2 linked regions of the Rattus norvegicus genome follow. The protein of the gene in region 1 interacts with the protein of each later gene in a biochemical or structural test. Links are inferred from orthologs where the notes say so. Each region holds a gene or a part of one and is shown on either strand. Other genes may lie near its edges.

Region 1 (3,816 bases):
AGTTCTTTGCATTACAAACTATTAATACAAACAAAATCAAAGAACTTAATTTAAAAAAAAAAATAAGAGAGGTATGACGTGAGGTGTGACGTCAGAAGGCACGCATTAGCGTCGCTACTACAGAAGCCAGGTGAGAGGACAGGATGCCTGAGGCTCTGATGCCCCCGCTGCAGACTCAGAAAGGGGAAGCGGTGAACTAGTGAACCCACTGTGGGTGGGGAGACGGCTGCATCATGCTGCCTTCTTCAAAGTTTACTCAATAAAAACTGAAGAGAAGAAAGTCAGACAAGCAAGCTCACGTGTGTTGAACTGCAGACACCGCAGACAGAACACAACTGTAACTTGCCAATGAAGCAGCAGTGTCTGCTGTGCAGACCTTCGCTCCTCCCTCGGCTTGTTCCCCAGAGCACACCAGAATGCGTTTATAAGTGGGCACTTCTGTCGCTCTCAAAGGACTGTGCTTTTGGACTCTTGGACATTTAGCATCACTGGAGTAAAGCATTATCTTCCTACCTAGTCACCCTGATAAAAAAGAGCAAAAACCCCTCCATTTCCCTAAATGCCCCTGGAAACAGTAAGTAAGAAACCATGCTAAAGTAATCCTCAGGAAGTTACTGAGATTCTCAGAACACTATAACTGAGATCAATCACTTCATTAGGCCAAACAATATCCATTCATACTTTAATTTAAAACATAGTAAGTAAGGCCAAAAACTAGTAGTTAACAAGGAACTGGTTACTGACAAAACAACCTTTAAATTTTCAAATGTTTGTCTCAGCCATGTAATGTGAGATTTGGGATCAAATAAGCGTGAGCATACGTACAGTCAGCATTTTTCAATGATTGCTTCTTTTTGGAAGGTTTGGAGATGACCTTTATCCGCTTGCTAAGGAACACACCGATGTCATCACTGTTGCCATAGAACATCTTTACAGACAACATGAAATGTTTCCTCTTGTCTGAATCAGATATGTACAATGTTTTGGCTGTGCAGTAGTTCTGTAGAAGAAAAGCAAAGTGTAACAGCGGGAAACCCTTGCTGGTTACTTATGCGCCTTCAGCTCAGAATGATGTGGCTACATTTGCTCAGACATGCTTTAGACTTCTCCAGCGGTCCTGGCCTGAGTTCAATCCGCTGCACTCACACGGTGGCTCGGAACCATGCACAGTGTGATCTGAGGCCATCAGCTGCATGCAGGCGCACACACAGACAGAGAATTCAACACAGTCTTTCTAGGGCCCACATTTACTCCTTTGTTTTAGTCTAGGTTTCAGAAATCACCACTCAATGCTGCAGCCAAGTACTGCATCCTTGTAGTAAAGCTCATGACTACCTGCAATAGACCTATCGTAAGAGTAAAGCACGTAAAAAGCTCCCTACTGGGTACAGTTTCAAAGTGGCTCATAATAACGCTTCTGTTCGTATGTCTGAATGCTGTGGTAACCACTTACAACTAAGGAAAATCGTGCTAGACTGAATGGGAGCATAAAGCATTCTGGATTTTTTTTTTTAATTATATATAAGTACACTGGTGTTCAGACACGCCAGAAGAGGGCATCAGATTCCATTACAGATGGTTGTGAGCTACCATGTGGTTGCTGGGATTTGAACTCAGGACCTCTAGAAGAGCATCCAGTGCTCTTAACCACTGAGCCATCTTTCCAGCCCGCAGTCTGGATTCTTTAAGGATATACTAAAGAACTATTTTAAGGGTACAAAAGGAAACATGCATTTGCCGAAATGTTTAAAATGCTACAACTTTACCTGTGGGTAACAGCTCTAAAGCTCTCATCCTATTTCCTTAATCACCACAAACTAAGGGGCCTGGGCCAAAATACTGACTTCTTTTACCAAACAGGATAAATGATGTCTAAATTTTATTTCAACTACTTCTGCTATGGGTTTTTTTAAAATGCAGAACAAGTACCACTCATTAGAAAGTAGCTAGTGAATTCTAGGTCTTTGTTCTTAAAATTTTATCAATATATACTGTTAGTAATAGATAAAAGTTCTACAATAGTTTGTCTCTATATCAAAGTTACATAAAGAAAATTTAAATGTGATCTCGAACATTCTAAATTTTGAAAGGCAAAATAAGACAATAGCAATAAAAGCTAACTGCAATAAACTGTCCTTCGCAGTGGTGGTCCACTTACACACTTAGATATGGCATACATTCATACATAGCTAGGCTCATATTTTCCAAGCACTAACTAAAGGTCAAAGCTGAAAGTGTTCTGCTTTGGAACATAAGATAAAGTTAATGTACTAGAGCAGACAGTCACAGGACAAAACTAAGATTTGTATCTAAACAAGGGAACTTGAGCTTGGAAATGGAAAGGCCTAAGATCAGATCAGTTCATTTTGAGCCCTAGCATTATTAGGTATAACCTACATCAGGAAAGAAAGTATGTCTAGCAGATATAAAGCAGATGGACAAGGGCTGGTGAGGTAGCTCAGTGAAGGGACAGATCACAGCCTGGGTCCTTGGTGGTGAAGGGAGTCCTTCCTTTACCTCCTCACAGCACATGTGCACTTGTGCCCTATCAACACCCAGGACTCCTATAATAAGGTCTAACACTGGACAGAAGGAAGGGTTTCATGCAGAGACAGCCCCCAAGGAGCTTAGTACCAGGATCCAGGGAGGGACAGTCAATGACCCTATTGATTAGATGGCTTTAGGATCACGTCACTTGAAGGTGAATGACTGAGAGCTAGAACTGGTTAAAATCTAGTTCAGCCAACAGTTAGACATAATGGTAGCGAGATCCCTGGCTTTTTTTTTATTAACTGCCCATCTACTCATTAAAGATCTGAATGGCTAAGCATGCAATCTGCTGTATTTAACTCCAGAAGTTATTTTAACAGGAAAATAGATCAACTCATGCTTTTTAAAGCTCAAGGGTCATAATTTAAGATGGTTTACTGTTCTCTTTTACAACAAGCACTAACTATTGTCACTATTGTCATAAATATTGCACCAAGCCTTATCTAAAGTCCATGGTCAACATATGGTATTGACTAAAAAACTATAAATGTTGACCTAAAGACAAATATCCAGACTTGAAGGTTAGGTTTAAGGTCTTCTTAAACATGACTAAATGTGACTAAGAATTCTAACTCCTAGTTCACTACCCTCAACACTCTTATCCTAGTGTCAAATATAAAACAAAAATACCAAAATAGCCAACAAAGAGCTAATAAATAAGGGATAGCTTTTGGATGATGCTTTGGATGCTGGGTAGTCACTGAGATCAGAATCATTTTTAAAACTTTAATATTACGAGAAAATATTGAATTAGTGAGTATATTAAATGAATAAGCCGTCCTCCTGAACAAAAGCAGTATACTGACTATTATTGCTTTCTAAATTCACAAAACTGTCAGGAAGCCAGTAAACAGAGCCTTCTCTGTGTAACTTTTTCGGACTGGTGTCGGTTAGCCAAGACTACTATGCCCAGACCCATGCTCTATCTATCATGTGTCAGCAGTTACTTCCCAGCAAGGATGAAGGTAAGGTGGCAGAAAACTGAAGCTGTGAGATCCATTCTCATTACTATCTGAGTATTACAATGCTGCGAAGCAGAAAATGAGGGATTAGTTTCCCAATAGAAATCTAATTTACAACTAAGACAACCAGGAAGCTGCCTCCTGCTGCTGCCTTTATTTACTTATTTTATGTATATGAGTACACTGTTGATCTCTTCAGACACATCAGAAGAGGGCATATCAGATCCCATTACAGATGGTTGTGAGCCACCATGTGGTTGCTGGGAATTGAACTCAGGATCTCTGGAAGAGCAGCCAGTGCTCT
Region 2 (3,816 bases), on another chromosome or scaffold:
CCAAGTTCTGCACATCCGACCAAGAAAGAAAATCCTTCTGTTCGCTTTTACTCAACTGTAAACTGTACATCCGGTGAGTTGAAGGTGGCGGCGGCGGCGGCGGCAGGAGAATTAAGAAAGATGACTGTCTGATGAGCAGGGTAAGGGAGGAGGAGGGGATGGGGCAAAAACCCAATGAAATGTTCCTGACCCCAAGGTTTCAGCACAAGTCCCAAGTCCTGCATGAGTCCACGGCGTGCTCAAGTACACGGCCAGAGCATCGCAGCCCGTGTTGACTTGCGAGTCACTAACTTAGTGCAAAGGCTGATCCATTCTGTTTAACAAAACAGAAGAATCCCACAGCCCGGTTCCTTTTCTCCAGGTGAGGAGAGAAACCCAGCCCCTAAGGTTTCTGCGAGTCCATGGGTCGGTGGTCTGTCCTGGGCGAGAATTTCATGTAAACATACAAGCAGCACCACCCCCAGAGGAGGTCGATCCATAGAGCTGGGCGGGCACGAGGGCGAGGGCAGCTGGTGGCGCCTGGCAGTCTGCCCCTCAGCAGCTTCCCCTCTGCCTGGCTGGGTTGTCCATGGTTCTGTCCTGTGTTCATTTTTTTATTTTATTTTATTTATTTATTTATTTTTTTGCAGCAGAGCCTCAGGAAAACGCCCTGAGGTGGCGACCATTCAGAGCCTCACACTGAGGCAATGACAATCATGAGGTGGGGAGAGATGTTGGAGATGCTGGCAAGGAGGTCAGGGGCCAGCCGGGAGAGGTGGCTCTCGGAGAACTCACAGGGTGGGAAGATCTGCAGCACATAGGCGGGCTGGGGAAGGAGAGAGAGAGTGGGAACCACCATCTTCCGTGACCCTCCCACCCCGCTTGTGCCTGGTAGGCAGGGCATCAGGGCTTGGTGCCATGTTACCAGCTCTACAGTTCAAGGTGTACACTACCCCTCCCTCAGCTGTCCCCTAGCCCCCCTCTCCAGGATGGGCAATTGGTGGCCATTACCCATGTTACTTACATGCCCACCTCCTCTAGCAACTCCTGGGGTATTCTGGTTAGTACGAGAATATCCACCCTATCTGGTAGACCAGCCCTCCTGCCCTGCCCTAAACCGGTTCTACTTGGGAGTAGGATAGGACAATGGACCAACCTGATTGGAGCCAGGATTGGGGACATTGATAATCCCTGCTGCTTGCTTGGCCTGCAGGTAAGTGATAAAGGCAGCCTTGAGGGACTCGGTCTGGCTTACGACATCCTCCTGGTCACGGCCACAGGGCAGAGCCAGCAACAGGCAGTAGTCTGTTTCCACCTGCAGCAAAGGGGAATGGTTAGGGATCTCCTGACTAGCCAAGGTGCTCTATCTAAGATGGCTGTCACAACACGTGTGTGCCCTGAGAGCATGTGCGTGCGAGCGCTCTCGCGGTCCTGAGGTCTCTACCCAAGCAGAGCTTCTCTCACTGTCTGCTTCCAGAGTTGTCGCTGCTGTGTCTTCTTGTCCCTCCCTCCCTGTGAAGTGCATGGGTGTTTACCCGGCCCACACTTACTGTCATCCTCCTGGCAACTCCTTCCAGTTGCGAGGCCTCCAGTCGCATCCTTTGGGCGATCCGCAGCGGGGGGCCGCCTTCAGAGAGGGGCAGGGAGCGGTGAGCCAGGACGTTGTTGCCAGAGACAAAGTGGAGCTGCACAGCAGCTGTGTCGTTCTTGAGGGCCAGCAGGCCCTGCCACACGATGGGGTACTTCTGCTTAGCAGGACAAACAAGAGAAACAGGGTCACGGCTTGTCCAGCATGGCCCTCAGCAGCCTGCTGGTCTGCGTTAACACTTAGAACCAGGTCAGCACGTCTTGAGCAGCCTCTGCCATCTTACCTTCAGAAGCTGGACCATATCCACGGGCCTTTGTGGTGTCCCGTGTGGAGCAGAGTCTTGCTTTGGGGCTGGCTGGGCTTCAGCATGAGGCAGAGCCAGTCCGGGTGGGGTGCTCGTGCCTGAGTTTACGGGGACAAACAATGGCTGCTTTGGGGCAGCCTGAGAGGCAAGAGGGGTTGGGAGGTCCGGCTTCATGGCGACTGACACGGGGGAGGGATGGGCTGGTTGGGGGGTTTCCCCCGGTGCCCTCTGAGCCTGAGCATGTGGCTCAGACGGCCTGTTCGTGGGCATGGCTGGGAGGCGAGTCTGCTCTATCCCTCCTGTCTGTGTCCCCTTGGCTTCTTGGGAGACCTGAGGAATCTTGCCACTTGGTGGCTGGGCAGGCTGGCTGAGCTGGGAGGGCTGGCAGGGTGGGGCAGGTGGTACAGGCTGTGTGGACTGCGTAGATGGGGCAGGCTGTGCAGGCTGCGTAGACTGCAAGGGCTCACTTTCGGGGGGGCCCTGGAGTTGGGAAGAAGACAAAGGGACAGTCAGAACTGGCTGTACAAAAGCCCCTGCTCCCAACAAGAGCTCAGTGGGCCCAGAGAGAGGCACCTGTGTCTCACGGGTAGTGGAGCTCACCTCATGTTAAGAAGCACCGAACATACTTCTCACCCTACAGGTAGGAGCCCTTGCACAAAGTATCTGACCCACTCCCCACCTCGACTGTCCCCCTGCCTTTCTAAGGTCTATTTACTTCATGTTCCTGAGTACACTGTAGCTGTCTTCAGACACATCAGCAGAGCACCTCGGATCCCATTACATATGGTTGTGAGCCGTCATGTGGTTGCTGGGATTTGAACTCAGAACCTCTGGAAGAGCAGTAGTGCTCTTAACTGCTGAGTCATCTCTCCTATCCCCCAAACTTACTTTATTGAGATCTACAGTGTCCCGGAACCTGGCTTCCTCACCTGGGCCGAGGTCTTGGTCCTGGAGGGTAGGTTGATGGAAGAGGCGACAGGAAACTGAGTATGTGTGAGCTGAGCAGGGGCGTGGTAGGTACGGATGTCGCCATACCTATACTCTTGGAACAGCTCCCCGCTGGAGTGCACAATCTGCACCCCGTGGGTTACCACCACAGGCGGGGTCAGAGGCAGCCCCTGAAGCTGGCTGCTGGGGGTGACTGTGAGAATTCGGGCCTCACCATGAGGGGGTGGGGCAGGGGTCGGGACAGGGACAGGGACCGGGACGGGGGCTGGAGCTGGGACTGCTTTGGCATCTGAAGTCTTAACCACTTCTTTCACCAGTTGCTGGGGGGCCTTGCTGGCTGGTGGCACCTTCACCACGCCCTCTGTGGCCCTGGGCTGTTCACTGACAGCAGTCACATGTGGATGCACCATGATCCGGACGTCTCGGGGCACGGTGTATGGGTGTAACCGGTACTCGGACTGCATGACCAGCACTTCTGACTGCACAGGGGCTGCAGCTCGAGCCACAGGGAGGTGGTAGTGAACTTCTTCCTCGGGAGGGTGCTGTGTGGCCAGCGCGGGCACAGCAGTTGTGGCTGGCTGGGGCGTGCTCACACGCTGTGGGGCCCTTGCTTCTATCTGTTGGGGCTGCAGAGGGGCCCGAGGAGAGTGCAGGGTCTCTGGCCGGATGCTGTAGGTGATGCTGGGCAAGGTGGGTGTGCTCATTCTCACCTCGCCTTGGGACAGGTGACCGAGAGACACGGTCTGAGTGATGCTGTGGGGGGGCATGATGACAGACTGCTCTGGGTGTATGCTGGAGATGAACTGTGGCACTGGAATGCCTGCAGCCAGCATGACAGTTGCATTGGTGGAAAGCGCTGTGGATGTCGTGCTGCTGGGATGGCAGGCCCTTGGGAATGGGCCTGGTGTAGGCCCAGTGGGTCGAGGAGAATGAGTATCTGGTTTTGTGGTTGCCAAGTGGGCAATGGTTCGATCTGCTGGGTTGCTGGGTCCGGAAG

The links.
Region 2: the proteins of Rbpj (region 1) and Spen form a complex in vitro, tested with the Homo sapiens proteins (2 studies listed by BioGRID and IntAct). The link is inferred for Rattus norvegicus from reciprocal best matches to the Homo sapiens genes RBPJ and SPEN.

What each region holds. Positions count from the first base shown.
Region 1 is NC_086032.1:61,559,613-61,563,428, forward strand, and holds part of Rbpj (recombining binding protein suppressor of hairless), read right to left. Parts: intron 1,001-3,816; coding exon 826-1,000; intron 1-825. UniProt on the Homo sapiens protein: Transcriptional regulator that plays a central role in Notch signaling, a signaling pathway involved in cell-cell communication that regulates a broad spectrum of cell-fate determinations.
Region 2 is NC_086023.1:159,058,621-159,062,436, forward strand, and holds part of Spen (msx2-interacting protein), read right to left. Parts: coding exon 2,801-3,816; intron 2,352-2,800; coding exon 1,851-2,351; intron 1,728-1,850; coding exon of another isoform or gene 1,725-1,727; coding exon 1,530-1,724; intron 1,295-1,529; coding exon 1,136-1,294; intron 806-1,135; coding exon 674-805; 3' UTR 1-673. UniProt on the Homo sapiens protein: May serve as a nuclear matrix platform that organizes and integrates transcriptional responses. In osteoblasts, supports transcription activation: synergizes with RUNX2 to enhance FGFR2-mediated activation of the osteocalcin FGF-responsive element (OCFRE).